Linked DNA regions of Lonchura striata. The protein of the gene in region 4 interacts with the protein of the main gene of each other region in a biochemical or structural test. Links are inferred from orthologs where the notes say so. Each region holds a gene or a part of one and is shown on either strand. Other genes may lie near its edges. The genes, in order: YWHAQ, CHEK2, CCNE1 and CDC25A.

The links.
Region 1: the proteins of CDC25A (region 4) and YWHAQ form a complex in vitro, tested with the Homo sapiens proteins (2 studies listed by BioGRID, with this or other methods). The link is inferred for Lonchura striata from reciprocal best matches to the Homo sapiens genes CDC25A and YWHAQ.
Region 2: of the proteins of CDC25A (region 4) and CHEK2, one has a biochemical effect on the other in vitro, tested with the Homo sapiens proteins (5 studies listed by BioGRID, with this or other methods). The link is inferred for Lonchura striata from reciprocal best matches to the Homo sapiens genes CDC25A and CHEK2.
Region 3: the proteins of CDC25A (region 4) and CCNE1 form a complex in vitro, tested with the Homo sapiens proteins (2 studies listed by BioGRID). The link is inferred for Lonchura striata from reciprocal best matches to the Homo sapiens genes CDC25A and CCNE1.

The regions. Positions count from the first base shown.
Region 1 is NC_134605.1:98,813,388-98,821,362, forward strand, and holds the start of YWHAQ (14-3-3 protein theta), read right to left. Parts: upstream 3,001-7,975; 5' UTR 2,856-3,000; intron 1,837-2,855; 5' UTR 1,752-1,836; coding exon 1,458-1,751; intron 1-1,457. UniProt on the Homo sapiens protein: Adapter protein implicated in the regulation of a large spectrum of both general and specialized signaling pathways. Binds to a large number of partners, usually by recognition of a phosphoserine or phosphothreonine motif.
Region 2 is NC_134620.1:10,023,829-10,031,369, reverse strand, and holds the start of CHEK2 (serine/threonine-protein kinase Chk2), read right to left. Parts: upstream 3,010-7,541; 5' UTR 2,966-3,009; coding exon 2,719-2,965; intron 2,154-2,718; coding exon 2,029-2,153; intron 1,796-2,028; coding exon 1,648-1,795; intron 896-1,647; coding exon 805-895; intron 1-804. Other genes in the region: iron-sulfur cluster co-chaperone protein HscB, read left to right, coding at 4,188-4,387, 4,454-4,550, 4,905-4,994, 5,528-5,672, 6,544-6,591. UniProt on the Homo sapiens protein: Serine/threonine-protein kinase which is required for checkpoint-mediated cell cycle arrest, activation of DNA repair and apoptosis in response to the presence of DNA double-strand breaks.
Region 3 is NC_134615.1:9,263,105-9,270,580, forward strand, and holds the start of CCNE1 (G1/S-specific cyclin-E1), read right to left. Parts: upstream 3,004-7,476; 5' UTR 2,942-3,003; intron 2,663-2,941; 5' UTR 2,614-2,662; coding exon 2,578-2,613; intron 2,394-2,577; coding exon 2,325-2,393; intron 1-2,324. Other genes in the region: uncharacterized protein F13E9.13, mitochondrial-like, read left to right, coding at 3,488-3,512, 4,635-4,717. UniProt on the Homo sapiens protein: Essential for the control of the cell cycle at the G1/S (start) transition.
Region 4 is NC_134603.1:156,255,477-156,262,989, reverse strand, and holds the start of CDC25A (M-phase inducer phosphatase 1), read right to left. Parts: upstream 3,009-7,513; 5' UTR 2,881-3,008; coding exon 2,726-2,880; intron 597-2,725; coding exon 517-596; intron 1-516. Other genes in the region: E3 ubiquitin-protein ligase TRIM7-like, read right to left, coding at 4,876-5,387, 6,379-6,414, 6,640-6,755, 7,029-7,051. UniProt on the Homo sapiens protein: Tyrosine protein phosphatase which functions as a dosage-dependent inducer of mitotic progression. Directly dephosphorylates CDK1 and stimulates its kinase activity. Also dephosphorylates CDK2 in complex with cyclin-E, in vitro.

The DNA.
Region 1 (7,975 bases), on a different chromosome or scaffold from region 4:
CTTTATATGGAGGTCCCAAGAAGTTAGTTCTGAAGTGGGGCACTGAGTAGAGAAAGAAGAGTGACACAAATGCTGGCACTTCAACACAGGCGTCCAGTGAAACTCTTGTCAGAGGAAGTAGGAATCCTACAGAAGTATTACTTTCACAAAGGTGAAAGTCTTACAATTTCAATACACCTTTTGAAACAATTTTGTTCTTGCGGAAGGCATGGGCTCAAATGTGTTAAGGAATTAACTGATTCATAAAGCTAATAAATATGAAAATTATTTTCAAAGAAAGACAACTCACTTTGATTAAAAAAGAACAAACCTAGATGGCAGCATACAAGGAAGCATATAGGTATTTTCAGCACAGTCCAAAGAAGCATTCCCTTGTATGTGAGCCAAAACACTTAATCAAGAAGAAAATCAGTTACTTCCAAACCAGTCACCTTTAAATTCACATCTCCTAAACAAATCTAGAATAAGTTTACCTCAAAATTGTTTATTTCCTTATAGACTTGCTTCCTCCTGGTCTCACATTAGCAATACTAGACACCAGAAAAAGGTAACTAAGAGGAGCAAATCAACCACTGAAGATGATCTGCCCACAGAATTACTATTGCATTATGCACGTGCAGTTTTTTTCAGATATCATTCCCTGGTCATGTAAAACTGGGTCCAGCAGCCTCCACACTGCAGACACACATCTCATGAGCTCCCACTGCAGTGCACTACAGTTTTCCTACCAACAGCACCTGGAATTCTGCTGCTTCCACAGAAATGTACTTCTGTGTTTGATGCATGCTTAGGATGTCATTCTGGTCTTTACACCTTAGTTTTACATTGCTCCGTAATTACTGCAAAACCATCTCAAAGCTACCCTGAGAAGTCAGCTTGCATCTAACAAAGACAATTTCTACATGTCACTTTCTCCCCTTCAATATAGATGTCTAAGTTTGAAAAGTTAAATTTATGTTAAAGCATTCATCAAAATGTCTCTTGAAGACCCCTTTAGAGTATTTCTCTTCATCAGGAAGTAAACAAAATGCATACATGGCTTCAATGTTTGTAGCAAGTTATTAGCTGATCTAAATAAAGGGCTTTCCACATTTTCAGTTTATCTTATGAATATGTTTACTAACCACAGCACAGAGGCTGTATCTCTGCAATTACCTGGTGAAATACTCCATATGGATCTCTCCACCCAAAAACGTACCTCATAGACACTCAAAATTAACTATCTCAAATACCTCTACAAATATAGCGTCAACAGCATAGTGCAGCTGATCCTCCTCATTGCAGTGACCCACGTAAGGGTTGCAGAAGTTACGGTACTGACCTCACCTACCCCAGCACAACACTGCATGATATGCCCCAAGCAAGTTCCCAATGCTTCCTCCAGTACAGCAGCACACTTAAACACTGTATTTTTTTACCTTAAACAAAATATAAGAAAAAACAAAGTCCTGACTTACCAGCACCGTGGTGCAGATGGACCTGAGCTCAGATTCCACCTTCTCCCGATAGTCCTTGATAAGCTGCATCTTCTTGTCACTGGTGTCTGTCTTCTGCTCGATGCTGGAGATGACCCTCCAGGCCGAGCGCCGCCCCCCCACCACGTTCTTGTAGGCCACGGAGAGCAGGTTGCGCTCCTCGTTGGACAGCTCGGCACCTTGCTCCGTTACTGCCTTCATGCAGGTGGCCATGTCATCGTAGCGCTCGGCTTGCTCAGCCAGCTTGGCTTTCTGGATCAACTCGGTCTTATCCATGGTGGCTGGCAGTGGGACAAGAGCAGTGCAGTAGCAGAAGAAGCTGGAGATGTCACACTATCAGGACGAGAATGCACCTCAAAACCTGACAGAAAGAAGACAGCAACCATGATGCCAGGATAAACACCACCAAACACGATCCTGCAGCACCCACTGCAACCCAGCAAAAACGAGAATTACTTTGAGCCTTGCCGTCCCTTCCCCATCTCCAGGTGCTCCTCCTGGACAGACGGACTGCAACATCCTGCCTTTCCATGCAAGGCTACGGGGACGCGCCCCAAGGGTCCACCCCTCGGGAAACCACGACCTAGAAACCCAGGCGGAGAAGTCGCACTCGGTCGGTGCTATACAAGGGACGGCAGCCAGCCGCCCAAGCAGTGGCAACAGCTGTTTTTCCATCAGAAAAAAGTCATCATCCCGCTTTTCCTTCGTGCCCTACGTGAGCATATTAATATGCCCCGTAACTCGTGGAATGATTCCTGGTTACCACCCCGCCTAGGGCCCTCGCCCAAATCCCTGCCTCCGTGTGCTACCAGTCCTGCGGGCGAGCACCGGAGGCAGGCGGGCATGAATGCCAGGACTGGCGGGAACAAATACATAATAAAAGCAGCAAGACGAGCTCGGCGCCGGAGAACACAGCAGGGGTTAAACCCCTCCAGGACCCGCCTCCCTGGGGGCGAGCGGGGCCGGGGCCGCGAGGCCGGCGAGGGGGCCCTGGGCGCTTCTCCTTCCCGCGGCGGGGCGCGGTGGACCCGGGCCTCCCTGTCGGCCTCGGCGGCCGCCGATCCGGACCCCGGCGCGGCGGGGGCCCCGCGCTGCCGGCGGGGAGCGCGGCGGCTCCCGGTACACGGCGGCGGGTGCGGTCTCGGGCTCAGCAGCCGCATCTCCTGCGCCGGCGGGGGGCGCGGGGGCGGCCGGCGGAGTCCCCGTGGCGACGGGGCGGGAAGAGGAAGCGGCGGCGGGTGCGAAATGGCGGCGCTGGATGCACCTCCCGCTCCCCGGGGCCGCCGAGCTCTCCACGCCGCGATCACAAAATGGAGGACGCGGCGGGAGGAAGCAGCGGAGCGGGGCCCATCCCGACGCCGGCCGCGACCCCGCGCTCACCTGGGTCCGCCGGGCTGTGGGGCCGGGCCGCACCCGGTCGGTGCCGCGCTCGGGGCTGTGGCGGAGAGAAAGAGCCGCTCCCGTCTCGGCCGAGCCAGCGCTGAAGGGCGTTGGCGCGCGCACAAACCCGCTGCGCGGCCCGCGCCCACGCGGCCAATCGCGGCCCGGCCTGCGCGCCCGGCCCCGCCCCCCCGCGCGCCGCCGGCCAATCAGAGAGGAGCGCGCCGCCGCGGGGGCGAGCGCGGGCAGGGCGCGAGCTCGGCTGGGCCCGTGGGCTGCGGCTGGGGCCACGGGGTTTCCTCCAATGAGATCCAGGGTGGGGTGACGTCACTGTCGCCATGGTGACGCCGCTACACCCCCCTTCGCCCCCCCCCGCCGCCGCTCCCCCCGCTCGGCACCCGGGACCGGGAAGGGGAAGGGAGCGGGGATGGGGGAGGCGGCGGGAGGGCCCCGGCCGGGGCGGTGCCCCTGCCGGCGGCGGGGCGGGAGCGGGGGGCGAGGCGGTGCCCGCGGCCGCACCACGGCGGCTGTTGTTCCGCCCGCGGGCGGCCGCGCCCTCGGGCCGCCGCTCCCCGCCGCGCCGGCGGCAGCTCCCGCAGGAGCGGGCGGCGAGCCCGGCCCTGCCCGGCCGGCCCCGCGGCGGCTCGGGCGCGGCAGGGCCGGGAGCGGCCGTGCGGTCCGTCCGTCCGGAGCGGGCCGGGCCGAGTCCGGGCGCTGCCGCCGCCGCCGGGCGCCGCGGGCCGGCGGGGCCCAGGACGGGCACTGCGGGGCTTCGTGTTCCCGAGTCCGTGTTCCCGCAGCCCCACGTGGCTGAAGATAGCATTTCCCACAAGCTCTCAGTATATTTGCTTGTTTTCATCCTCTTGATTTCACCTTAATTCTCTAGAGGTCAGCCCGTGCTATGACATACAGTAGTGGCATGTTACCCACCCGTGTCTGGATAAAGGTAAGGCACCTACGGCCACATGTAGGTCCAGAACGTTGGCTGAGTAGATGCATGACTTGTGTGCACTCACGCTGACTGAGCCTCAGAGGATGTGCTAAGGACACGGTGGGTTTGTGTTGTTGGTATTGCCGTACAAAACAGGTCAAATGCATCTGGTGAATCAGGGCTCAGGCGAGGTCAGGTCCTCCAATGTCTGCAGTACCAGGTCTGTGTGTCAAGAGATGACATTTCTCACCTTTCTTTTCAGCATCACCAAATATAGTCATACTGAGGAATTTCAACATCCAGATGGGATGAGGAATTCTCTGAATCAATCCCAGGATGTTACTGTCTCAACTTATAAAGCTTTTGGTATGTGTTTGGACTAGTACTAGGACTATGTGTATGGAAATTTGAGCTATACTATGAACAAGACACTTTTCTTTGTCATTTGAGTTTGGGAAACATTGATTTATTAAAAAAAAATAGAACTAATGATAAAAATATTTTCAAATTTAATGAAACTGAGAAACCACTCTGGATCTCCCTCGGAAGTTACCTCTTGGCAACTTGCTATAGTTTTAGGATGCCCATTTATTCTTGTTAGTAGGATATGTTTGCAATTACATTAGTCCCTTATAATTATCTTCATTTACATGAAGTAAAGACCAAAGCTGACCAATAGTGTAACAAAACCTTTTTTATTAACACCATGTCTTTATCAACTAACCATTCCACTTTTAAGGCACAGGTGAGTGTGTTTTATTTGAGGAAAGACACTGACCTGATTGAGGCTACTTCCTTCACTGCTTCACCTCAAAGAAAAGGGGAAGATATTGAGAATTACCCTCATAACATTTAGTTCCTGTCTCTCTTCCACCTATTGAGAGGGTGCATTAAGAAATACAGAACTAAGTCAAGAGTTGGGAAGTACTAAGCAGAGCAGTTTGCACAGAGCAGTGTGATGGATGCAGACTGAATTCCATGTGTGATGCAGAGTCTGATGTATGTGTGCATAGCAGCTGTGTGGCCTGTGTGTGTCTGGCTTCAAACCCCCTCTGTGCTCCTTGCTTTTCAGGCTTGGGTCTTGTGGGCTAACATGCCATAAGATTGCCCAGCAATGTAGATTTTAATCATACAGCCATAAGCTTATTTCCCCAGAAGAATCCTATTGCTGATTAGGAATGTTGTCCTTTGGGGAGCTTTTCAGAGAAGGGACTTGAAGGATATGTTGTGTTTAGATTAGAAAAATGAAGAGGAGATTTTATATTTTCTCAAAAGAGTAAATGGCATGGATGTAGAATTGTTTTTTAAATTGAAGACAAATGTGTGTAAAATGGTCAGTAATGAATTTAGACTGTGACTTAGAAGATTTGGAATTTTCAGAGCAATGAGGCCATGAGACAGTTTCCCTGTGCTGAGGGCAGGAAGCCCATTCGCTTAGAAAGCAGAGTCTGATGAGTTTATAAAAGTGCTTATGTGATTGCACATAAGCAGTTGCCTGGGATAGCAGGAGAGTAAGCTCCAGAAGCTTTCCAAATTTGTGTTTCTTTTATTGCTTATTACATATTCTTATACATGCTTAGTCCATGTGTACTTTAATGTACAGTTTACTGCATAACATTATCCTTTATTGAATTAAAAAACCTAATTTCCTGTAGAGCATTTCAGGAGTGCTATAATCTTACTGACCATTAAGGACTTTACCCTTGTCACCACTATGAAATGGCTGGCCTTATTCTGTCTTGGGTGCAGGAAATTAAAAATATGAACACTTCTGGTTACCTATATGAAGAAATCTAAGCTTAATTTCCCAGGTGGTAAATATCGTATCAAAGACTTTCATTTCCAGGGTGGTAGATGCTTTATGCTACTTTGCATGTAGAGAAAGTCCACCTCCCACTGACTTCAGATGCACCTACTCACATTCAGCATCTTAGCAGCTCACACCACAAATTACTCAACTGGGGTGTGGGAGAAAAATAAAGAATATATATAATGCAAATTCCTCAGACTTACATGTGAACTTTACAACAGAGTTAGAAGACAGTTTTCTAGAGCCTCTGTTATTTGCTATAAGACTTTTCTTGCTTTTTCTCAGCAGAAACAACCCCAATCAAATGCTTTCCATCTCTACAGCAAAGGAGGTTGAGATGGTACAGTCAGGAACTTCCTTCCTGCTGTCTGTACAACAGGTACACAACAGCTCAAAGTGGCATCTCACAAAGCAAACATACAGCACTGTGAATGAAGCTAAACAAGCAAAGAACCCCCAAAAGCAGACTTCTGTCACGGGATTTACCTAGAATACCACTGAACAACAGTGTGAGTGAGCCTTTTGGATACGCAGCATGGTCCTGAACTATGCAAAACAGTCCTGTCATGAGTAACAGTAGAAAAACTTACTCATTTTGTGTCCTGTCTTGAGTGGGATGGAGATCCTGTACAATTAGTCTCGTGTCTGTTCACTTAATGGCAAGAGAACATATTTTATGTTTATTAAGGCCCTGTGTTCTGGTGGTTAAGGTCTCTTTTGCTCCCATACTCTTCCTGTAATCTTCTCCTTATTATCAGCCCCCTAATTTACATCCCATCTCATCCCCTTCTGATTCCTGTCTTCTGCTCAACTCCTGTCTGTACACTTGTTCTCCTGCTGTCATTCTTTCTGTATCTGTACCCTCTGCTCTTCCTTTGTTCCAACTTTTACTAAAACTTTGGGGGACAGAAGAAGACTTGCTTAGGGGGCCTAGACATTTAGTAGTCCTTTATGAGAGCTGGAGTTTTAAGGAAATTCTGCAGGTAAATTTTAATATGTCATCTGAGGGTATTAAAATTGAGTTTTTTCTTTATGTTTTCCATGTTTGGTTAGTTTTCCATGAAACCAGCATAAGATTTAACTTCCATTTGCCCAACTTCTTGAAGAATTTAAAGGTGCCACTTGGTTGCAGGTGTTGGAATTTTTTGATAAGCAAATTGTAATAAAGTGTGTCATCCTGGACAAAACTGGAATTCTCTCTGATTTTCTCTGTGAGAAATAGCTAAACCATTCTAGCTAAAACATGAAAAACATTTTAAGTGTGTTCATATAGACTGATGTGTATTTAAGCCTTTGGAGAGGAACTGAACCAGTGGCCATGACTCTTCTAGATAAAACTTAAATTTACTTAAATTTGTTTATCTTGCACTTGGTTGGGGGACTTAGGAATGAAAGGATAAGATCTCTTGTTATCCTTGTATTTTTTTCTCATATCTAAAAAGTGCTAGAGCGTAGCATGAGTGCTCTTACATTAAAAATAGAAAGCCATTCATGTAAGAGGCTAAAGCATCATCAGAGTTCAGTTAAGTGACAAATAAATGTGAGTCAGTGGGATCAAGCTCTTTAAAAACTAGCCTCATTCCATATTCTGTCTGTTCTGTGCTGTGAGGAGGCCACAGGACTTCTTAAATTTTTGAAAATACTTGCATGGCTTGCTCATTGCTGGTGTAAACTAATTGCTCCAGAGAACAAGCCTCTGAAGGTGTTGATGAATGTGGAGCTATTGCTGGGTGCTGTTTTATGCAAACAGTTTTCTTCTGCTGGGAGGAGAGGAATCAAGGAGTACTTGGGTTAGGATGATGACTGTCAGTGTGGGAGGGTGGTACTGAACCTCAGTTTTGCTGCTGAGTGCCATTTTTCTGGTTTAAGTGGCTTCAAGATAAGTGTATCTCCATGCTGGGAGCAGTTTGGTCATTGCTTGTAAAGGATGGTATTGATTAATATTGATACCTGCTGCAAGGTAAATGTTGCTGTAGTCTGATGTGCTGAGGCAGCTACTGATCATGGTTGATAGGAGTGTCTCAGCTTTTGTCTGACACTCTCTTCCCTCCTACCATTTCAGTAACTGCTGTTAGATTCCATGCCTCTTTTTGGGAGGTGCAGTATCTATAACATTGTTGAACATGACTGGGTTTCTCTGTATTTCCTTCTGTAGCATGGAGAGTGCAATAGGCTCTAGGGAACAGAGTCAAGCCTGTTACCTGGGTGAGCCATCTCCCTACTTCAGAGAGCTTTCCTTTCATCCTGATGGGCCTGTGAGGGAGGGAAGGAGGATGCTGGCTGAACAGAACCATTCCCTTTTTTGTGCTGTTGGCATTAAAGTGCAGGTTTGTCTGTTTTGGTCCTAAGCAGGTCCAATGAATCTCTTGTGAAGTAGAT
Region 2 (7,541 bases), on a different chromosome or scaffold from region 4:
AGAAAGTCTACAGTACTTCTCAGAAAACATTCAAGAGTTAGAAAGTCTATTTAAACACAAGTGTTGCCAAGGGACATTCATTCAAAACTGCAAGAGTCAATATGCAAAGCAGTCGCTCTATTTGTACCAAAAGTACTGGCAGATAAGGATTTCCTTCATGCAAAGGCATTTAGAGAAGAGAACTTAGGAAAAGTTCTCTTAACATTGGACTGTACAAGTCTGAGGAACAGATATGACAATACTTTTTTTTTTTACTAAATAGCACTTATATTACAGAAAGAAATTCTTCTGTTTTCCACTTGGATTTGTTTCTACTTAATTATTCACCTCCAGATTCGTCACTGACCAGCTGTTTCCAAAACAGAAAAAAATAGCTTCTCTCCCCTTTTTTCTGGATAGTTCTTTTCCTTTTCATCTGAAGGCCTCAATAGTGATATTGTAGGAAGCTGTATTCTGACAAAAAGCTCTTCCTTCTACTTTCAACAACTGAGTAAATTAATATACAAACTTTAAAAATACATTAAGAATTTAGAGATTTCATTCTCTTCTACAGAAAAAAAACCCAACCAAAACAAAACTTGGCTTTTGCAATTGGTGGTAAGTTGCAAACCCCAAAGCAAGTAGAGAGACAAAAACAAAATTCCTCTTCAAATTGTTGTAAAGAACATACTTATTCACATGTTATCGTTGGTTTTTTTTTCCTTTTTCCTATTAAAACAGCAGCTCAGTTAATACAGGTAATAATTCCAAGATACTGATAATGATAATGAAGTTAACCCTTTCTGAGGGAAGAAGGATGCTTACCTTCCCAAAGTCTTTGACATGATATATTTCTCTCTGAATTCTTTAGGAAACGTCATCTGATCATCCACAGTAAGATCAGAAAATACAAACACTGGGAAGGCAAGTGGAGATCATTTTCCTATTATTAGGTTTAAAATATTTATTATAACAAACAGCTATGTTTTGTGAGTTTTTATAATCAACAATATAACTGAGAAAATACTGCCTGCTAGAGGAAAAACTAAATATATGCTATAAATTATACCAGCTATGGGTTGGCAAGGTGATCTTATTGCTGAAAAATTACATTTTGGGACTAAATTCACAACAGTCTTTAACTAATTAATTACATTTAAAGACAAAAGGAGCAAAAATTTCAATGTCCCAGCAAAAATCAAAGAGAAGTAATAATCAAGAAGACAGCATCTTAGTGGAAAATCGAAGACAAAGAAACAGAAACACAGCCGTGTTTATTTTTAAGAGGATTTTCTATTTATTATGCAGCATCTGGTTAGGTATCAAGGGGGTTTTATTCAACTTTTCTTCAATAGTCTGTTTCCCTTGTTCCCACCATCAATATGAACAGCTACTGAAGCCCCAAAGGGTTTCAAAAACAGGAAAAAACCTATAAAAGTTTATACTCTAGTAAGTATATTTCTGATATAATGATGCATATTTCTTTAAGTTTTCTTTTTCAGGTTTTTTTCAGGGTTGACATGGATAATTTTTATGTGAGTGCTAAAACACCTCTTAATGAGATGTGCTCACAAAGCAGCTCAGCTCCCAAAAACATACTCAAATCAATGCAGAAACAACCTCTTGGTCAATACATGAAAAACCTACTAAAATTAAAGCACATTTTACCCTTATTGGTCTGTACAGACAATGCAATTTCAGAGTTGTGTGTCAGTGGAAGCCTCCTCCCTCTTCCAACGAGCTCTCTATTAACAAATGTCCCATTTGCACTGTGGTCTTCAATGTAGGCAACAAAGGAATTTTTTGGACCCATTTCCTCAAAGAGAAAAAAATGGGGAAGATGACAGTAAAGAAAAATGACTTTACAATAAAGACATGATACACTAGAAATTTACTATTGTTGACTCAAGAAATGAGACTGAGTTTATTTCATAAACCATATGAATGGGGCATTGCCAAAAGTCAGGTTAAAGGAGTCAACCCTGAAGATACTTTGATTTCTTTAGGATCTCTGCCCCAAAGTCTCAAGTGAACATTTTTAGCACTTACCCTGAAAATTCGGAAGTGCTTCTTGCTATAGTTTTGGTAGAAGCTAGTCTCAGACAATCCCAGCTTAGAAAAACTGTAATCACAGCTTCTGTCTCTCCCAAACCAGTATTCCTCATTCACACAGTCTGCAGAGGAGGGGAAGGTACAGCAGGGAGGGAAGATAATGTTGCAGGAAGTTAACAACGATGGCACTACAGGATGATTCCAAATGGTAATGAACAGTATAACAGAGACAAGATTCTTCCCATAGAATCAAGTCTGCCTTAACTCATACAAAGCATCACCCCTTGTCAAACCCTTTAATAATTTTACCCTCTTTAGTGTTGATGAACACCTCTGATGGTGTTCTTCAGTTCACCATCAACCATATAGAGACATATAACTAAATAAAATATACATTGTTTTTTAAATGAAGCGTGTAACAAAGAATATGAACGCCCCAGAATTTCTGTAAGTCTGTGGAAGCTGTGTACCCCAGAATTTCTGTAAGTCTATGGAAGTTGTGTATCTGAGAACTCAGTGTAAGCACTTGGATGTAGTATGGAATAAAACATTAGAGCAAAAAGTTCCATACCTAAATTTGCTTGTACCTAACTTGAAAATGAAAAGACACTGCTCTTCAGCAAGCTGCTCAGACCTTTTCTGAGATCCTACAAAGAAACCAAGAGATTTATTACAGCATGCACATACCACAATTGCTGAAACCTTTTCCAAGTGCAAAGAGTCGACCCCAAGGCTGAGGAACCAGCTCTTCACATTCCTGGTCCTCAGGGATGGATGGAAGCTCCTGAGTGGGAACAGTGTCCAAGGAACTGAGAGTTCCAGAACTTAAGGAAGACTGACTAGTGCTCTGTGACCCACTGGATGAACTGGTACCACTCTGTGGCTGCTGGGAACTCTGAGATTGCTGTGATTCACTTCCAGTCTCTTGAGACATGTTGGCTTCAAAGAGAATGTTAAAAAAACCACAATTACTATAGCAAAGTAAAACTAGCAAACACTCACATACTGCACTATTAATGTCCAAGTCCATTCTCAGCCTCAAAGAAGTAAAACTTCCATCCAAAGCGTGCGTGTCTGGGTTATCCGTAAATTCCCAGGAACTGTGCAAACCAGGATGGTTTCCTTTTAAAAGACAACGTGGAGCGGCCTCTGCTGGTTCTAGAGAAGCAGAACGAACCCTCATTCCCGGATTGCTACCGGGGACTTCAGCGCTCCCATTGGGTCACACAGGCATGGGCTGTGCTCGGACAGCATCCCCGCACGGAGCAAGGGACAACGGCTGGTCCCCCAGCACAAAGAGAAAACTGAAAGGAATGAGAACTGTAAAATCATATAGGTTTTCTTTAAAGCGCCCGAGAGATTTATCACACTTGTACACAATAACTGCACAAAACCTTAACAGATTTAGACACCACAGCCAGCGGCAAGAAACAGCCGGGAAATCCATAGGCTGTGGTGCTTCCTTCTCCAATTAAATGCTGCCCCAGTCCTCCCTACAGCACAGCAGTCCAACCTTAGCACCTGTGTATCGGGTGTTTCGCTCCTTGCCATACAGTTCAATCTATGCTTTGCTACATTTCACTCCGAGCCATAAAGCCACGGCAGATCCAAGCTCCCTCCCCCGCCCCGTTTGTTACAGGTGTTGTTCCAGGGCTCCTCCCCAGGCAGGGCAGAACCACGGAAAAGACAGAGCCCATCGACTCCGAGCGCTTCCCCAGCGCTGCCAATGCCACCTGTGGCCGTGTCCCTGCGCCCACAGGGATGCTGACCCCACCTCCGACCTGTGGAGGAGCTTTCCCTCGTATCCAACCCGACCCTCAACGCTCAGACGGCGGGGCCGGGCCCCAGCGGCCCTGCCCGCCGGAGCACTGCCGCCCCGGACCGACACCGGCAGCAGCGGCCCCGCCGTGCCCATGAGCACTGCGGCCCGTGAAGCCGCGGGGAGCAGGCGGCGGCGGCGGGCCGGGGAGGAGGGCAGGGAAGGGAGCGGGGCAGGGCGGGAGCGGGGCAGGGCGGGAGCGGGACCCGAACTCACGGCTCTCGGGGCTGGCGGGGCTGGCGCCGTCGGGCCGGGGCCGCCATGCGCGCGGGGCGCGCGCCCCGAGCGCAGCCAATGAGCGGGCGGCCCGCGCGGGGGCCGGCGGGAGCGCGGCGCGATGCGGGCGGCGCTGCGGGCGCGGCTGGGCTGGGCGCGCCGGGCGCTCCGCGGGGCCGCGCTGGGCCGCGCCCCGGGGCCGCCGTGCTGGAGCTGCGGCGCCGCGCTGCCCGGCGGCGATGGGCCGCCCCGCTTCTGCCCCGGCTGCCGGGCTTTGCAGCCGCCGGCGCCGCGGCCTGACCTCTTCCGCCTGATGGACTGGTGAGTGTGGGCGGGGCGGCCGCGAGCCCGGCCGGCCGCGGCTCTCACCCGCCCTGTGTCCTGCAGCGACCGCTCCTTCCGCATCGACCCGGAGCAGCTGCAGCGGCGGTTCCGGAGCCTGCAGCGCGCCGTGCACCCCGACCGCTTCGGCCAGAGGCCGCCGGTGAGCGCCGGGCCGGGCGGGGAGCCGGGCCGGGAGGGGCTCGGTGACCGCCGGAGGAACTCGCCCTTGGCCTTCGGTGCGCGGCGGGGCCGCAGAGCCGGGTCCCCGCCTCTCCCGCTCGGGGAGTGAGGGGGCTCGCGTGTGTTTGTCTTTCGGTGCTCAGAAGAACTCTGCCCTGCCGTGCATTAGCGGACGATGAGGAGCCGCTGCGGTTGTCAGGCCTCAGCTGAGCGCTGTGCCGCAGGTCCCAGGTCCAGAGTCACACGGACTGGTGTGGGGACGCTGGCGTTCCGCATCTAACAGTGTATTTTGCCACTTGTTCTTAGCTTCCAATTATTTGCCGTCCATTTGCAGAAAGAGCAGTACTACTCTGAGCAGCACTCTTCCCTGATCAACAAGGCCTACAAGACCCTGCTGAACCCTCTGAGCCGAGGCCTCTATCTAGTAAGGTCTCCAGTAGCTATTGCAATGTTCCTGTAACTAACCCTGGGCGCTGGTAGGGATGGCACCCTCGATTCGGTCCTTAATTTGCATTCAGTCCTTCAATTTTCTCATTTGCATTGCTCTGAAGAGGATCACCAGAGATTGAAGGGAGACCAGAACCAAGTTTGTCTAAATTTTAATCAGCATATCATCTAATTTGCTACTCACCTTACAGTTATTTGTCTTTCACATCACACGTGGTGATGTTAATTTATCTTTAACATTACACGTGGTGTCTGGCCATGGCTGCACATTCAGAATTTCAGTCTGGCCCATGGCAGCCTTTTTTATGGTTTTTTTTTGGCTTTGGGTAACTGCTGATTTTTATGGTCAACTTATGTTTGGAGTTGATTTTCAGATTGACTCTATGCACTGTAGGTTTATCGAATATGAATTTGAGTATGCCCCACTAAGAGACTTAATATTAAAGAAAATAATTCCCATTGAAATAGATGTGGGAATAATTATTTTCAAATTCCCATTTCCTCTGCCAGCTGGAGCTGAGTGGAGTGGAGCCAGCACAAGAGACAGACTGTGATGGAGACTCAGCGTTCCTTATGGAAATCATGGAAATTAATGAGAAATTAGCAGAGCCCAAAAACAAGGATAACCTTGAAGAAGTTGAAAATGTAATTAAAGGTAGGTTATGACTTGGGGAGTTTGTACGGAACTAATATACTGCATCTTATGGAATACAAAAGTCTGAAAAATTTTAACTGTTTTGGTATACTTCTTGTAATGTCTTCAATTTGTGTTAGTCTGGAATTGACTCATTGCAAGAGCTTCTGCCCTGTTCCCCTTTTTCCAGTGTTGTCGTTATCTATTTATGCACCTAAACATCACATCTGTCTTGAGAACATTTGTATAACAGAACTATTCTGATGTCAAAATAAATATATATAAACAATAAAAAGGAATTTACTAAACCTTCATCGGGTTAGTCAGTTGTTCCAAAGAAAAAAATCTATCAGAATGAAGTTGAATAAAATGCTTGTCTAACCACACTAAATAATGTTATTTATAAAGGCATTGTAGTTCTTTCACCTTCTTCATCTGGCAGCCATTATATTAAGTGGTTATTCTCCTTATACAAGCAACTTTTTGTATATATTGTTGGTGATACCAAAAACATTTGGTTTACTGATACATTTAATTCTTTGCCATAACAGCTATGTGCTAAAAGCAACTACAATAACTAGAATAAAAACTGAGTAAGACAGGAGAAAATTAACTGTAGCAGGGCAAACTGATAGACCAAAAATAACTTGGATTTCTGAGAAATTAGTGACCATTGATGTGCATTGGAGTTGCTGTCAGTATACCTGTTTAAATAAGGAAATACATGTTTGAAATTATAATTAAAACATTGACAGCAGTATAATGAAAAACTTGTTTGGCTGCCAAAGGCTGAAACTAGTAATGAACTTTCTCACCACAGGCAGTCAGAATACAGTGGTATCAAATACCCTAAGTATAAAAAAAAAAGTAAATTAAATAATTTGTCTTACAGTTAAACAAGAAGAATTGACCAGAGAGGTGACTGCAGCTTTTGAAAGAGGTACCTGATTTTATGAAGTTTTTAGCTGCCATACATAACTGTCAAATGCTTAAAGCTCTACAATCTCTTACTGGCAAATATTTCCTGAGCTATGGAATAGAAACACTGCATTAACAAGGGTTCTTTGTTAGGTATTTAGAATAAGTACTTCTAAACTGACATTCCTGCTGATTTGGGAAATTCAGGAGCTCACATTAAAAGCAAAGTACAGTACAAAAGTTTCATTCATCTTGCATCTAAATAATCATTTTGGGTGGGAATGTAGATGCTAAAAAATTGTTTGTGCATCTCCCAGAATACTGGGAAGGACAGACTTCATCCTAGACATATTCTGAGGTTTCACACTTGAATTTGGGAGATGTTGTTCTGCAGTTCTGGAGCTGCAGTAGAGCAGTGAGTGCTGTTCTTTGCAGTGGAAGCCAAAGCAGCTGTGTGGCAAGTAAAGGCCTGTTCAGCATAAGGATTTGGGAACTTCCTGTGCAATAACATAACTTTATTCTACAGCCAATGGATGGGCACAAGCTTGAATCATTCCCAAGCTTCTGAAGCTGGGAAGAAACCTTTGTGGTTCTGTGCCAGGTCCAGAATGCTGCACTTTTGCCAGGGGTGAATAAACATCACAGCCCTGCTGGCTGGGCCTGCCTGTGATGAGTTATGTCCTGTTACTCTGTGCCATGAGAAGGGCTGTGTTACTTTTGTCTGTAGGTCATAAACCTAACTGAGGAGAAATTGTTTCAATATCAGTTTTGGACTTGGTACTGTCCAGACCAGCCTCCTCCTCATTTGCATGTTTCAGTTATGTCAGTTGGTCTATTTATATACCTTTTAAATAAAAACATTTGTCTTGCCAAGGATAGATCAGTACTGCAGCCACTTTACAGGAGTCATTAAAGGGTATTCATTCACAGTTCTTTTCCAAAATGTTTATTGTTATGTGTTTTGTGAAGCAA
Region 3 (7,476 bases), on a different chromosome or scaffold from region 4:
TGATCATGCAACTTGTATCACAATTACACAGATTATTCTAATCTAGTTAGATGAATTTTGTTTTACATGGAGCCTCACAAGTGTATTCATCCCCACAAAGCAGCCAGAATTAGTATGAGAATTGCTAGCAGAATTACAGCAGTGCCAGTTCTCCAAAATCAAACACAGAATTTATACAATATTCTGCTGTCACAGACCTGATGATATAGCCACCCTTTCATCACATAAAGGGTAACGGCATCCTAATTAAGAACTGAGGCCTTATGTTCCACAGAAGCAAACTAATGAATTGACTATGAAGATGTCATAAAGTGGGATGTGACTCTGATATTTTGCCTTGTGGATAAGCTAGTGTCAGTAAACAATTTATTTAATGCAGAAGTCATGTGGTATAGGCTGCAGTGGATTTATAGCTGCTTGCATTTTAGAACTGTCGTGTCTCCACAGAATAACTGTCGCCCTGGCTATCATTCCAGCCTGCTATACTGCTGCTGGAACCGTAAACATATTCTCATTAGTGGTCCATGGCAATTTATATCAGAGAATAGCTTGTGTCACACCACAGACTGAAGAGCTGCCACTGTGCAGCCAAATGTTAGCTTTTTTAACCAGATCTGGAACAATCTGGCTACTTTGTCACAACAAAAATACCTGATCTCTGTAGGGAAAGATATAGGCATGATATTATTTATTGTTTATAGAATGAAAGGGTCAAATTCTACCAGCATACTATAATTACCTTGAAAAATTCCCAAGAAAATATTTTTGATGTGTACTACCTATATTATCTAAGTTTTAGTTTACCTATCCATACTGAAGTAACACTAAATGGCTATCAAGCCAAGAGTACAAACAAGGAGACAAAACTGGAAGTCTTTATCTGCTTTGAAAACTGAAGGTCAACATATGCAAAAGATACTTCAAGTTTCCTTCCACTGTCTTTCTGGAAGACAGTAAAACTGGGTCCCCATTGAGATTTTCTAAGAAATACCTTATTATTATGCAATAAACATGCACGAGAAGGCCTTGCTCAGTTTAAACAGAATGAATCTTCTGGTGAAGGAGAAAGTTGCAGTGAAGGACAGGCAGCTCTTCCTTGTCAGAAGTGAGAAATTAGTTTAATATACTGTGCAAAAGAAAGACAGAAGGGAAGGAGAGATCCCCTCATTAAATGCTCACCATTTGAGCCCTGCTTAATATGTTGACTGATAACTAGTGTACGCAGTTGCAACAAGCAGAGGCCATTCCAAACAATGATGCCCATCTGTTATGGAAGCACTTCAGTCTTAGAACTTCCAGCTGCCACTTTGGGTTAGATGAGCCACATTCTGCATTGCCTCACCTACCAAATGAGGACAGGCAGCACACCCTGAGCACGACTTCCACAACTTCACCATCACCCTGTGTGTGCAGTGACAGGCTGGAGTGACAGTGACTGAGCAGGAGTGCACGTGTTCAGGGGAAAAAGGAGGGGAATGAACCTATTCCAGGACACAGGCTACTCAAGGTACAAAAGCATCATGCTTTCAACATCACACAGCATCCAACAGAGATCCCAAAAGCATCTGCTCTTTCAAGACTATGGAAAGCACACAAATGGAACTAGAGGACACCAGTAAAGTGAGTTTTGACTTTTTAAGTTGATTCATTCTACATGTCTTGCTGAGAAAGTTGGCAATGGTCACTATCAACCTCCACCGCAGGACTAATTTTCACACGTAGAGCAACTTTATAGCAATATTCCTTTGCTCTGCAGAGAAACAAAGCCTGTTTTACTATACCATGAGTATCTAGTACACACTTCCAGGTTCTAACCAAGAACTCCTTACTTAGCCTGTCTAATAATTACCCTTGTCAACAGGAAAAAGGGGACACTTTCCTCTTTCCCAGATGACAAAGAAGTAGAGACACAGCTCCAAAGAGAACCACTTCAAGAGATGATTCTGTCTGCTTGCTTAAGGAGCACAGGTACAAGGTGCATAAGCACATGACTGTACTTTTGCACCTCATGCAGAATAAGTCCAAAGGCTTGACAGGTGCACCTTTGCAACCCCAGGACAGGTGAATACACTTCAGCATTAACATGATGCCTCAGACCAAGACAGGCCTTATATCTTACAAAGGCTTTAAAACTGTATTGAAATATGAACTGTGTTGTTCTGCACACTCCATCATCAACCAGGGCCAACAGTCCCTCAACTGCTATGCAGCATGTAGCAGAAGCAGACCTGTTTCACCACACTGCCATAAAAAATGAGGTACTGCAAAGTAAGTGCAGGGTTAAGCAAGACTACAATATTTACATATAAAGCAAATTCAATTACCTGTTTTTCACACGGCTTTTTTCTAGTCATCTCCATTTTGGCAATTTCTTCATCAGGATCCTGTAAGAACTACAAGAAGCGACACATGATTTCCGGAGCACAGGCGGCGGGACAAGCAGCTGTTGGCAGCTGTGACACAGGCCGGGTCCCGCAGGAGCACAGCCCCGCGGCCCACCCGGCCCGGCCCGGCCCACCGCGTGGGGCCCGCACCCAACAAAAGGCGCCGAGGGCGCGGGGCCGGGCCCGCACTCACCGTGGCCACATCGGCTTTCCTCTTGCGGGCTCGCATGGCGGACTCCGTGCCCGCGTCGGCAGGAGCCTTGTCGTGCGCGCAGTCGCTGCGGAGAGAGGGGAAGCTGAGCGAGCGGCGGCCGCGGACGGCTCGGGGTGCCCGGCCTGCAGGGCCCCGCGCAGGGCGGCCCGGGCACTCACCTCTCCCGGCGCATGGCACCCGCCCGGGCCGGCCGCAGCGCCGCGCCGAACGGGGCCGAGCGGGCCGCAGCCCCCCCACAAAGGCCGGCAGAGGCGCGCAACGGGCGGCCGGACCGGCCCCACCGGCTCCCCCCGCCCCGCGGCCGCCCACCGCCCCCCGCCCGCCCGCGCTGCCGCTCACTCACCGCCGCGCCGGCCCTTGCCGCCCGGGAGCGGGCGGTCGGCGGGTGCCGGGCCGGTGGGGCAGGGCGGGTTCCGCCGGGCGCTGCTGCCTCACGGCGCGGCCGCTCCCGTCCGTGCGCACGGCGCGGGCCGCGCCCGGCGGGACATTTAAACGCGCGGCGGCGGCGCGGGGCCGCCTCCCGGCCGCGCACGTGGCCCCGCCGGGCCGGGGCGGGGCCGGCGGGGCGCGGGAGACGCGCGGGGTCCCGCGCGCGGCAGGGGCGGGGCCGGGGCGGGGCCGGGGCGGGGCCGGGGGCGGGTCCGGGGCGGGGCCCTGGCGCGGAAGCGGCGGGAGCGGCGCAGGCACGTGGGACCGCGCCGGGCCGGGCCGAACCGAGCCGAGGATCCTGTCCCGGTCCCTGTCCCGGTCCCTGTCCCGGCCCGGGCTGCGGGAGGCGGGGCGGCCTCCATGGCTTGCCCGGCCTGGCCCCGCCGACGCCCGCCTCCCCTCCCCGCAGGCCGTGCAGCGGCCCGGGCTGTCCGGGCGGCTCACGGCGGCGGTGGTCCGGATGGTGCACGTGGGAGCGCTGCCAGGTAAGCGGCGGGCGGGCGGCACGGCCAGCGGGACCCGGGCCGGGACCGAGTCGCCGGCGTCACCCCTCATCCCGGCTGCGGTCCCCCTGGAAGGATGTCCCTTCACCGCAGCCACGGGCCCCTCGTGAAGCGCCCTACGTTTGAGCGCTCCCCGTTTCTGAGGTAAAAACGGCGGGAAGCAGCTCCACACAGGGACCTGGCTGATGAAACAGGGGTTCGGGCTCGGCCAGCTCTGTGTCAAGAAGCAAGGATCAGGGAGGTGCTCAGATGGGCACAGGGATGGGATGGAGGCTGGCTAGAGATCTCTCATGCCCTTAGAGGCAGTGGGAAGCTCAGACAACACGCGGGATCTGCTCCAGCCTGGCCTCCTCGCCCACCTTTCCGGGAGTTCAGGGTGGGCAGAGCTGGTCAGGACAGCCCACCTTGCCCTGGACAGGCTGATGCCCAGAGCTCAGCGTGCCCCAGGTTTTCCCAGAAGCAGCCCCAGGTGGGACGGCCAGCTCCCCCTGTGCTGGGAAATCAGGCCAGCCAACAGAGCTTGCACAGGGCTCAGCTCAGTCCCCATTGCACACTCCCACTGCCTGGCCTTAGGAGCCCAAATATCAGAAGAGACTTTGGTCTTAAGGCAAATTCACTGAACTCCAGCAAAATCTGTTTGTGTGTATTTCTGCCATGAAGATCAGAGACAATCAATTTTGCAGATTAAGAACAGCTTTAACTGTTTTTTAACTCACTGATGCTTGGCATAGGTGTTCTGTGCTGACATAGAGGTCAGTCGTGCCCATGGGTTGTATTGTCTGGAGCAGCACTAATGCAGGATTAATTACAAGTATGTGAATAGCAAGCTAAGAGCAGACCTAGTGCAATAGGGATTATAGCAGGCATTCCTCAAGTTTGTGAATTAAATTGAGGAGCTGAATGGGTACAGCAGCTCTGCCAAGTTCAGCTAAGGAAAGAAAGATCACTAAGGCATGTCATAAGGAGATAGGGCAGCCTTTGAACAAATTTGTCCTGTATGTCCCTGTTTCAGTGTGCAATCCCCATGGATGACCTACCCAAAGCTGTTACTGTCCATGGGTTTGGTTTGTGCATGCCCTGGGCTGAGCAGCATTATTCTTGCAGGAACACCAGGAAGTTCTCTTCCATTGACCCAGATTAATGATCAATCACGTCAGGAGGCAGAAGTTTACAAGGATGTTGGAGTTGTAAGTTTTGGATTCTTTCTTTACGTGATGACCATTACACAAAACCACTTGTGCATAGCCAGAATTTTAAATTGAGCCTACAGCTCAAGATCAAAAGCATCTTGAAACTCATAGATTAGAGATGCTTAAATCCATGTTGTTTATTTCAACATAGGAAGTAGGCCTTCTAGATTACAAAAAAAAAAAAAAAAACAACAAAAACAAACCAACCTAAGATAAGTATCACTTGCACTCAAAACAATTGAAAAAGCTTAGATTCAAATTGTACAGTTCAAGTTGTTTGAGTTGGATGAATCAAGTCAATTTAAGGAGTTAAATAAAGTGGCCAGAAATATGGGCTGTTGCTGGCATTCAAGGTCTCTGGATGTAGAATGCTTCATCAATCTAGTCTGACAAGCAACTGTATTTTTAGCTCTGTCCAATCCTCTGGTTTCCTGAGGTCATGGAGCTATGCCATGTGCACAGCTGATACACTGCATGCATACCTTAGGAACCTGGAGGGTGCAGAATCACCCCACAGCTGTATTTGTAACAAAACAGCACAGAGAATTCAGGATCTAAAGAAAAAAAAAGGCTCAGGCCCTTTTCTGTCCCCTCTAAGCCTCTCTCCAGGCCCCTGGCAGCGAACATGCCTGCTTTGCATGTCCAGAAGAGCAGGCCCAAAAGGCCATTCTCAGCCAGAGGCAAGAAGAGACTGCTGTCAGAATTGCTGTTGGACTTAAAGTGGTGTAGTAATCTTCATAGGTCAGTAGATTTTAACAGGGTGTATGTCCTTTTGAAAGGTCAGATATGTTTTAAATGTTTCATTACACCTTGTCTTGGGTTGTTGATGTGCTTTTTCTTTGACCTGCCCACAGCATTATGAGCATTCTCTGGTGGTGTCCAAGGTTTTAAAATGTATTCAGTGAACAAACTGTCACTGCTACAAGCTGCTACTTTCAGAAAAACTTTATTAACAAATCGGTTGAAACATTTTTAATCTATAAATTAGAATGAGACTGTACAGACAGAACAAAATTGAATACAAGAGCTTAGTTTAAAGAGTAGAAGAACAAGGTCAAAATGCAACACAAATCACAGAAGGTAGATTATGGGCACAGCCCTGGTAAGGCTATACTAGGAAAGAATGCTGAGAATAGAATCATTGAAAGGATAAACAGCCCTGGGGTAAAATGATGCTAACCTGGTGGGCTTCAGTACCTGTGAACCAGATGAGCATGTGTGAGATGTCCACCCAGTTAGAACAGTCCCTGACTGCAAGCTGAACAGGACAAGGAAGTTTTCTTCCTTTTCATTCCTCCTGAAAGAACAAGTGTGCAGTAACTCTGTATTCTGTACTGTGCCTTTATATTTTTTTGTTGCGGTATCTCCATGGGGTATAACGTGTTTTGATCACATCAGAAGAGTGGCAAACACTAATCTCTGCCTTCCTGTGCCAGAGGAAGTGCTTGCACAGATAATCTATAACTCATAAAGCCATTGCTCCACATTGCAGTGGAGCAATGTTTGCTCATTTCCTTACATAATAATTACACATTGAAACCTTCAACAGCAGGGGGAAGACACCAAATACTGCTGAAGCTGAAGGACGGAACAGAAGCAGTTACTACCACTGCTGGCATGCACAAAGCTGCTGGAGCAACTTTGAGATAAGCTTTAAAATCAGTATTACAAAAAAATTTCAATTTGGCTTTTATACTTTGTCTTTTCAACAGTTGTACTCAATTCTGCAGTTCCAGCTTTAACTGGTTTACCTTTTCTGCAAGTGCATTGCAGTCTCTGAACTTGAATATATGTTTAAACCTACCTGTCAGGAGACACATGAGGTGAATGCAGTCATTTCTCTACACATTTGGACAAATTCAGGGCTTAGAGTTATAATTAACCCATTTTCCTGTCACAGGAACATCAATATACTTCCACACCAGTCTTCATTCTAAAAGTATGACCACTGTTAGAGAATAGAACAGAACAGAGTAACAGCAATATAAGAAACAAATCCTTTATTAAGGAGATAAGTCTCAGAGATAATCAGGAGAACCTCCATAAACATCAATAGGTTGTTTAACACTTTCTGCAGTTCAATTCTTTAGTTTTTTGTGCTTTAAGAGAAATGAAAGTTTTCATGATAGATGCTTTCAGGAGCTTCCCAGCTTTTACACAGAGCTGGAAAACTCAGTAGTTTGGCAATTTACTGCCAAACTATTCTGGAATGGGAATCTCTTTGGGTTTCTTGCTCAGTATTCCAAAGGAACTGTTAAGCTGTCCATTTTTCTTGTAGAAGAAGAGCTAGAGAAAAGGTTTTTTTTCCCATGGATGTTTGTACTGACAATGTTCCCAAATGATGCCCACAGTAGCCCTTAAGAAGATATGTAACCATTTGCTGCTATTTAGATGTTTACATATCGTATCAAATAGTTCAAATTGGTGTTAACATTTAAAAATAAAGTATATGGTCTTGCTCACTCCATCTGTGTTGCACTTGGAAGTAAATCCTGGTATATTCAGAGTAAGGTGACTTGTCTGGCACATTCACAGCTTCACATAATAAATATGAAAGATTTGTGATATTAGAGCATAGTAATGAAAACAAGTGAGTGTTCAGTTAGGAAGCCATCTGTGCTCAAAATGTATATGCTTTGTACTTGTGTGTTGCTAAACAATGAAATTCCCTAGACAAGATTTTATAAGCAGCAGGCTATGAGGCATTATAATCCCTCCAATTTGTACCTGCTTTTCTTTAAGGAAGAGGCAAAATA
Region 4 (7,513 bases):
TCCAGGTGGAAACAGTGATTTCCCTCAGCTGGAGCAATGAAGCACCAGAGGGAATCTACAAGTTATGGGGTGAGAGCTTATTTCATTTTCAACGATAAAACATCTCATGTGAAAAACAGGAAATCCTCCCAGGAAGTACCAGAACTGAGGGGTTTCAGATCAGATCACCAACCCGTGCCCTGGGTAACAGGAGAACACAGGACAGAGCCACTCACTGGCACAGTCTGGGTTTAAAGAGAGAAAACACAGTGAGGACTTGTTTTCACTCCCTACTGCTCACAGCCTCCAGGACAATTAAAGCAAAATTTAAAATAATAATTCAAAAAAATCTACAGCCCAAACCACGAGCTGCAGAGGTTTCCTGGGGGATTTTCCATCTGCCTCCCTCCTTCCAAGGGCATGGGAAAGAGAGGGGGCTGCAGGCAGGGCCAGTTCTCTCTCCAAACCCTGGGTGCCATGTAGGAGTGCATTGCTTTGCAATTCCTAATCAGAATTTATTAATTGAGGCAGCCCCACCTGAGTCTGTGGACTCTGAAGATGCTGATCTGTGCAATCCATTTTTGGTTCCCACGTCCTGGTCCAAATTTTCATGCTGCCTGGAAAGGAAAATTTGGGATTTGCTTTAAAAGCAAGAAACACAACACTGCAGGTAGGTACAGCACAGGTGGGCATCACCTGGAGTTCTATCAAAGCCCAGTTATCCTTCCTGGAACTGCAATCCTCTTTGGCAGACACTCCTTTAATTCAGGTTTTGCATTGATAAAATTGCTGAATTTCTAATTCAAACCCATTTTGATAAATAGTTACCTCCCAAATTTTGTTTTATCTGCTAAACCTCAGTGCTGAGAGAGAAGAAAATCATATGGAGTCCCACATATAAAAAGGAAAAGCTACCTGAGTGAGGCTCCAGCATGTGGTTAATTAAAAAAAGAATGTAGCCAGGGCTACAAAATCAAAGGGCTGAATAAATTCCAAGAGGGGCACTGCCAATGGCTTGCAGGAATCCCAGGAATCTGAAGGAAGGATGGGACCATAAGGCAGGTGGTGGCAGAAATGAGAACAGAAAATCAACAAACAAAATCCAGGAGGGTCATTGAGACCTGAGTGGGCCAGGACAAAACAGGAGCCACACAAGGGAGGAACTGTGGGAATAATGGGATTAGAGGAGTTAAGAGAGCAGGAAAAGGGAGCAGCTGGGGTTTAGGGAAGGGGTGCAGCTGCAGAGCACAGAGCAGGAACAGGGCAGGCAGGAGGACATGGAAGGGACACAAAGCTTTTTGTGGGAGAGAGGGAAAGCCAGGGAAGGGCTCAGGAGGGAGGGGAATGCCCAGAGCAGAACCTGGGCAGGGGGAAGGTGTCCCAGAGCATGGATCTGTGTGGGATGGGGGCAGGAGGGCAGAACAGATGGGAGGCAGCAGCCAAAGGGGGCCCTAAGGGACTCCTGGAGGTTTGTGGGGTGGTGTCAGCGGTCAGGAGCACACAGAATCACAGGATATGACTCTATGCAGCTGCTTCTATTGAGAGCTCTGGGAATCAGGGGTACAGACCCAAATCTGACTCCCACATGGCTTTCGAGCTGAACGTATTTTATATTCTATCCTTACAGAACTTACATATTAATTATTAATTAAACTTATATTGTTCTATTGTATACATTGACCTTATTCAACCATGAGTTTCTCGTGATCTTTCTTAAGCTTCTGACCAGTTTCTCATGATTATTCCTACGATCAAACAGTAATTATATTTAATTACTAAACAATCATCACATCTAACAATTATATCACTTATCACGTACCAGCTACACAGGTGCAGTTCCAGCAAGGCACAAGGCCTACACGTTCCCAGGGTATTTTCCCAGGGCCTACTAAGCTTCATTTTCCTTCTAACCCTAAATCCCCGTGATTTTAAAACCCTTTCACGATCAGCGGGAGGGTTAAAACCGAGGCCTCGTGGGTGGGCGCGGGCAGAAGAAACAGCCCCGGGAGGCCTCGTTTTTGGGGGAAGGGCTGGGGGAAGAGGGGCTGGAGGTGTGGGGAGGGCGCCTGGAAGGAGAGGAAGCGGGATGAGCCCGCAGTGCCGGGCGGGGAGAAAGGGAATAAAGAGAACCCTCCATTGGGGGTGGGGGGAAAGGGAATAAAGAGAACCCTCCATTGGGGGTGGGGGGAAAGGAAAAGGAGGGATCCACGAGGCTGTTTTTTGGGGGGCTAGGGCAGATGAGCACCCCGAGGCTTTTCCTTGGGAAGGAGGGGGGACAGGGAAGGGAAGGAGTTCCTGAGAGCTGGGAATAGCTGGGGAAGGTGAGGGGGGGGTTAAAAGACGTGCCTGGGGCTTTGGGGCTTGCGAGGGGCATAAAGCCATCAAAGGGGTTTGGGGTTTTTATCCGTGTAATTCCCTAAGGGTTCCCAGTGTAAAATACGCGTTTTTCACAATAGCGCGGGAGGGAATTACGGGGGTGGAGGGAAGGCGAGGAAAAGGACTCCTGGAGGCCTGGGGGGGGGTTTATACAAGGGGGAGCCTCCCTAGGCCCGGCAGCGGGAAGAAAGCGTTTTGGAGAGGGACAAAGTGCCCGGAGCAGAGCAGGAAGGAGCTCCCTTGGCACGGCAGGAAGCAGCGCGGGACGAGCCCTCCAAACCTCGCTTTTTCCTGTGGGAGAGGGGGGGTCACCACAGAGGGGAGAAAAAGGAGGCGCCCGGGCTCTGGTGGGGCCCGCGCCCCGACTCACCCGCGCCCCAGCTGCTCCATGGTGAGGCGGAGATCCGAGACAGGCGAGAGCTCATCCTGAAACAGCGCCTTCACCACGGCGGGCGAGGCGGGGGAGGCCGGCGAGAGCAGCAGGAGGCGGCGGCGGCGGTGCGGAGCGCTCGGGGTGGGCTCCATCGCAGCGGGACCGGGGATGCAGCGCAGCCCTGCCGCCCCGTCCCGTCAGCGCGGCCGCCGCGGCGTTTTGACCCCAACCGGTACCCGTCGCCCGCTCTGAAGCTGGCGCCAAACCGCGGCTCGGCCAATCAGCGCGCGGGGCCCCGCGGGGGGCGGGTTGTTTTTTTTCAAACCTCCCCTCCCACCGCGCGCGCTCCGGCCAGTAGGAACGGCGGCGCCGCGGCCAGGCCCCGCCCACGGCGGTTGCTTGGCGTCGCTCTGGACCAATAGGAACGCGAGGAAATCGGAGTTGGGGGGGAGTGCGCGCCAGCGCGGAGGGACTACATTTCCCAGTATTCCTAGCAGGCGCGCCGCGTTATCGCTGTCTGCGTTGCATGCTGGGTAATGTAGTTCCCGTCTCATAGCGGCGCCTCTTTGCCGCCATGTTTCCGGCCGTCTCCCTTTAGCCTGGGCATGAGGGGAAAATGGGGAACGTGAAGGAAAAAAGGCACAAACTCAGCAGATAACGCCGCCTCGCTGAGACAAAGAGCCCTTCCCACATGGTTTCTCATCAAATGAGCTCTCCCTGAGAACAAAAGCCACTTTGTGAGGCGTTTGGTGAGCGGCTGGGGAAGTAAGGCACTGCACATCCCTGCAACACCAGGATGGGGTTCACGGACAGAGGAGCAGGAAAAGGGAGACTTGACAGTACTCCACATAAACTCTTTAGGACACTCAGCTTCTCCCCAGCTGAGCGTTCGCAGATCCGTGCTGTCCAGCCCCTGGCAAATCCTCTGCCATGTCTCTGGTGGTTCCAGAGGCTGCTGTGTCCAGCTGATCGCTTTGGATGCAGGGGATCTCCAGGACACGACCCCTGCGCCCTGCCACCCCCAGTCACACAGTGCTGCTGGTTCCTGGATTAGACAGTGGGGTGTTTGATCCTTCCCTGAGCATGCCGGATCTCAGAGATTGCCATCACACCCCGGCTCCTGCTGCTCTTCCAGGCACCCTCACTCCTGCTATCCCTCCCTGAACATTTTCCTTTTTACAAGACTTTTTTCAGCAGTTACCACCACCAAACAGCATTGGCTTCCTAAGCCAGGAATTGTGGGTTCTGTTCCATCTAGGTTGCCAGAACTGATGCCTTGTGAAGGCTGACCCAGAACAGAGGCTAGACAGAGTTAAAGAATAAAGTAGGTATTTAGTAAAAGGCCTTAATGGCTGCATCTTGGGCAGCGCAAGAGCCCAGCCAGGGCTACACCCAAAATGAACCAAAATTGTCACAAAATGCATGACCAGTCATGAGGCTTCTCACTTTTATAAGTTTTGGTCCATTTGCATATTGGAGTTAATTGTCCAATTCCAGCTTCAGGGTTATGAAGTCCTACCCTTCTTCTTTTTCTCTCTTCAATTCACTGTTGTTTATACTTTTGGGGCCTGGACCTTCTAAGGGTTATCACTGGTCTCAGGCTGGAAAAGGATTGTTTTCTCTACCAAGCCTGTTAAGAGAACTTGCTAACACCTAACACAAAGCTCAGAGCTACACACCAAAGCAGCACATAATCCAAAAAATATGAAAGGCATCATTATCAGCTCATGGCACCATTACCAGCTCAAGGCATCATTATCAGCTCGTGGCTCCAGCCTGGCTTCCTGAGTGTGGGGTGGCTGCATTGTCCAGCACAGCACAGCACAGCTGCCACCAGTCCTGCAGTGCTGCCAAAGGCTGGCATGGACAATCAGAGCCTCTCCCCTCCCTCTTCCCGATTATTCTGTGGCCTCAGTGCCCACAGGGAGAAGACACCATCACCATGGGATCTAGCCAGGATACCAGCACGCAGACACCCCCAGGCAGGACAGCACTTCTTTAATGTTCCAAAGGACTCAGCGGGAGGAGATGCAGAAAACTGCAGAGAGGATCCAGCCCAGGCAGAGCTGCAGTGAGGCTGCAGTGTGACATTCCCACAGCTCCTCCCTGCTCAGCTAGCCAAGGGCACGGGCAGCCATCCCACCCTATCAGTCACACACCCGGATGTGGCTACCTTGGGAGCAGACCCAAAAATACGGGAAGACTTTCTCAGTGAAGGTGGTCTCAAACTGCAAGATCTGCGTCATGTCCTTTGCGTCGTAGAAGGTCACTTGGCCCGCTTCGTAGTCCAGGTGGAGCCTGATTTTCTGAGGCGCCTTCCGAAGTGCCAGCGGGTAAGGGGACACACGTTCTGCTCTGTAGTAGCCTGTCCAGTCCAGCTGCAGGGCCCAGACCTTCTCAGATCTGAGCAGGTTGAGCGACTCCTTCCTCGGCACAGACTCCAGGGCCACCCCCAGGGCCCAGGAGCCCTTATTGCAGACCTCCACCTCCCAGTAATGCTTCCCAGACGTGAAGCCCTGGGAGCCCAGGACACTGAGGTTGCCCGTGAACCTCTTGGGAATGTCAGGGGGGTTACGTTTTCCGCTGAACCGCACAGTTTTGCGGTCGTCCGAGAGGATCAGGTCAAGATTCGCCGTCTCTTGGTCCAGTGTCACCTGCTCTAATGGATGACAGAAACATCAATCTGTGCCTGCTGAGAGGAGAACCAGCAGCTCTCCTCCAGCCTGCACCACGGGGCTGGGATGTGTCCTGGGAGCACAACGGGCACTCCTGCAGCCCCCTCGGGTGGCATGGGACACAGGACCCTTACTGTCCCCACTTACTGGCACCTGAGGGTGGAAAGATGCTCCCTGAGGCAGGACTGAGCCAGGCAGTGTCCCCACATGCAGGGGACAGACACGATGGGCTTTGTTAAATCTGCTGCCAGATCTGCTGGATATTGCAGCCTGTGGGGAGCAGTGCATCCCGCGGGTGTGAGCGGGCACTGCTGCAAGGCAGGAGGGGCCAGGCCAGTCCCTGCTCTGTGACAAGGGCTCACCCAGCCCGGAGCCCTGCTCTGCCGAGCAAGCGGGTAAACTTGCTTCCCATCCACCAGGGATGTTCTGCTGCCATCCCGTGGCCATCCCACAAGGCCACACTGCTGTCACTGTGCAGCGTCACCATCCCAGACACTCTGCTAAACCCACTCCTCCGGGGACTGCAGGGGGGAAACTGAGGCACCACTCTCCTTTTGGGATGTGCTCAAGTGCATCATCCCAAAAACTGAGAGTGGAGAGCGGCCTTAGCACAAATGCTGCCAGCCAGACCTCAGCCCAGCAATGCTCCATCATGCGGGTCCCGAGGACCTGCAAAAGCACTTCTGATCATGCCTAAATGCCAGCTCAAAAAACATGTACAGCCCTTCTGCTTAACTGGGCACAGCCTGACACGGCCTCCTGCTGTCCTGGCCCTCGCCTGGCGTCACAGGACAGCATCCCTGGCGCTGCCTGGCACAAGGACAGACCTGGATTTTTACAGCAGGCCTAGTCAAAACAACAGGACTCAGTTCTAGACAGAAGCTGGGTTTAGATGTGGTGTGAGCCTATCTCTGCACCAAGGACATGAGGATACTCATGCTCCCTCAGTTTCCCCCCTCAGCTCCAGAAACTTACCCCTTTTTCCCCTGTCCATCTCGCTCCGCAGGCTCACTGGAAGGAGGAAAGGAAGAGGCATGAGTGTCTCTCTTCCTGCTCCCCATCAAGACAGCAAGCCAGATGTGGAGCCCCAGGCTCCAGCAAAGCCCATCCCGGGATGGTGCCCACCTGGAGCAGCCGTTTTGCTCCTGAGTCCCAGGCAGAGGCACCAGGCAGTGAGGATTTCCCACTGCCAGCCAAGCCCAGGGGAAGCACAGCACGGAGCCAGCAGGGCTTTACCTTTGAATTTGTCCATCATGTTCACGATCCACTGGCTCTTCCTAGTGAGGCTCCCAACGCTCTGATGCAGCTCTGAGGAAACTGGCTCTGGGATTGGGGCCTTGGCTGCCTCACAGCTGAGGGGAACAGGGAGAGGAGCTCAGAGCCCAGCCACCAGCCAGGGCCAGGAGGGAAACGGAATTCCCCGCAGCCACAGATCCCTGCTATCAGCACAGGGATATAACCCCATCTTTAGGAGGGGTGCAATGGCCTCTGGTTCCTGGTAACGTCACATGAAATCCCAAATACCCAGCAGGGCAAACCACCTCCTTCCCGGCTCCTGCAGCGCTCCCAAACCTTTGCCCAAAGGAGCTGCACAGGAGCAGAGGGACACCGAGCCTGTTTCGTACCTGTGCAGGATTCTGCCAGCGTCCTGCAAGAGAGAGAAAACATAGGTGAGCTGTGGCACTGCCGAGGGACAGGGAGCTGCAGTGGCTGCCCAGCTGTGTGAAGCAGGCTAAGGGGGCTGGAGCTCACCCCACCCCTCATTCCAACCCTCCCTTCCCTCAGGGTCCTGACCCAAAGCGGGCAAAGCACAGTGTCACTGCACAGTGTCACAGCACGGTGCCACAGTGTCACAGCACGGTGTCCCCATGTGGCCCAGAGCCACAGCAGGATGCAGAGGGTGCCAGGTAGGTGTCCCCAGCCCCACCAGGGCTCACAGTGCCCAGGGGGGTGTCCTAGGGTGACGTTATGGTGTTTGTATCTCCAATCGTGTGTTCTGGTTATGTTTGATATTATGTTCTGTGCTTTCAGAACTGACTCTGAAAGTGAAGGTTTGTTTTGCCTTGTTATCAGCCAGCTCACCTCCCCCCATGGTCTGCTGTCTAGAAAA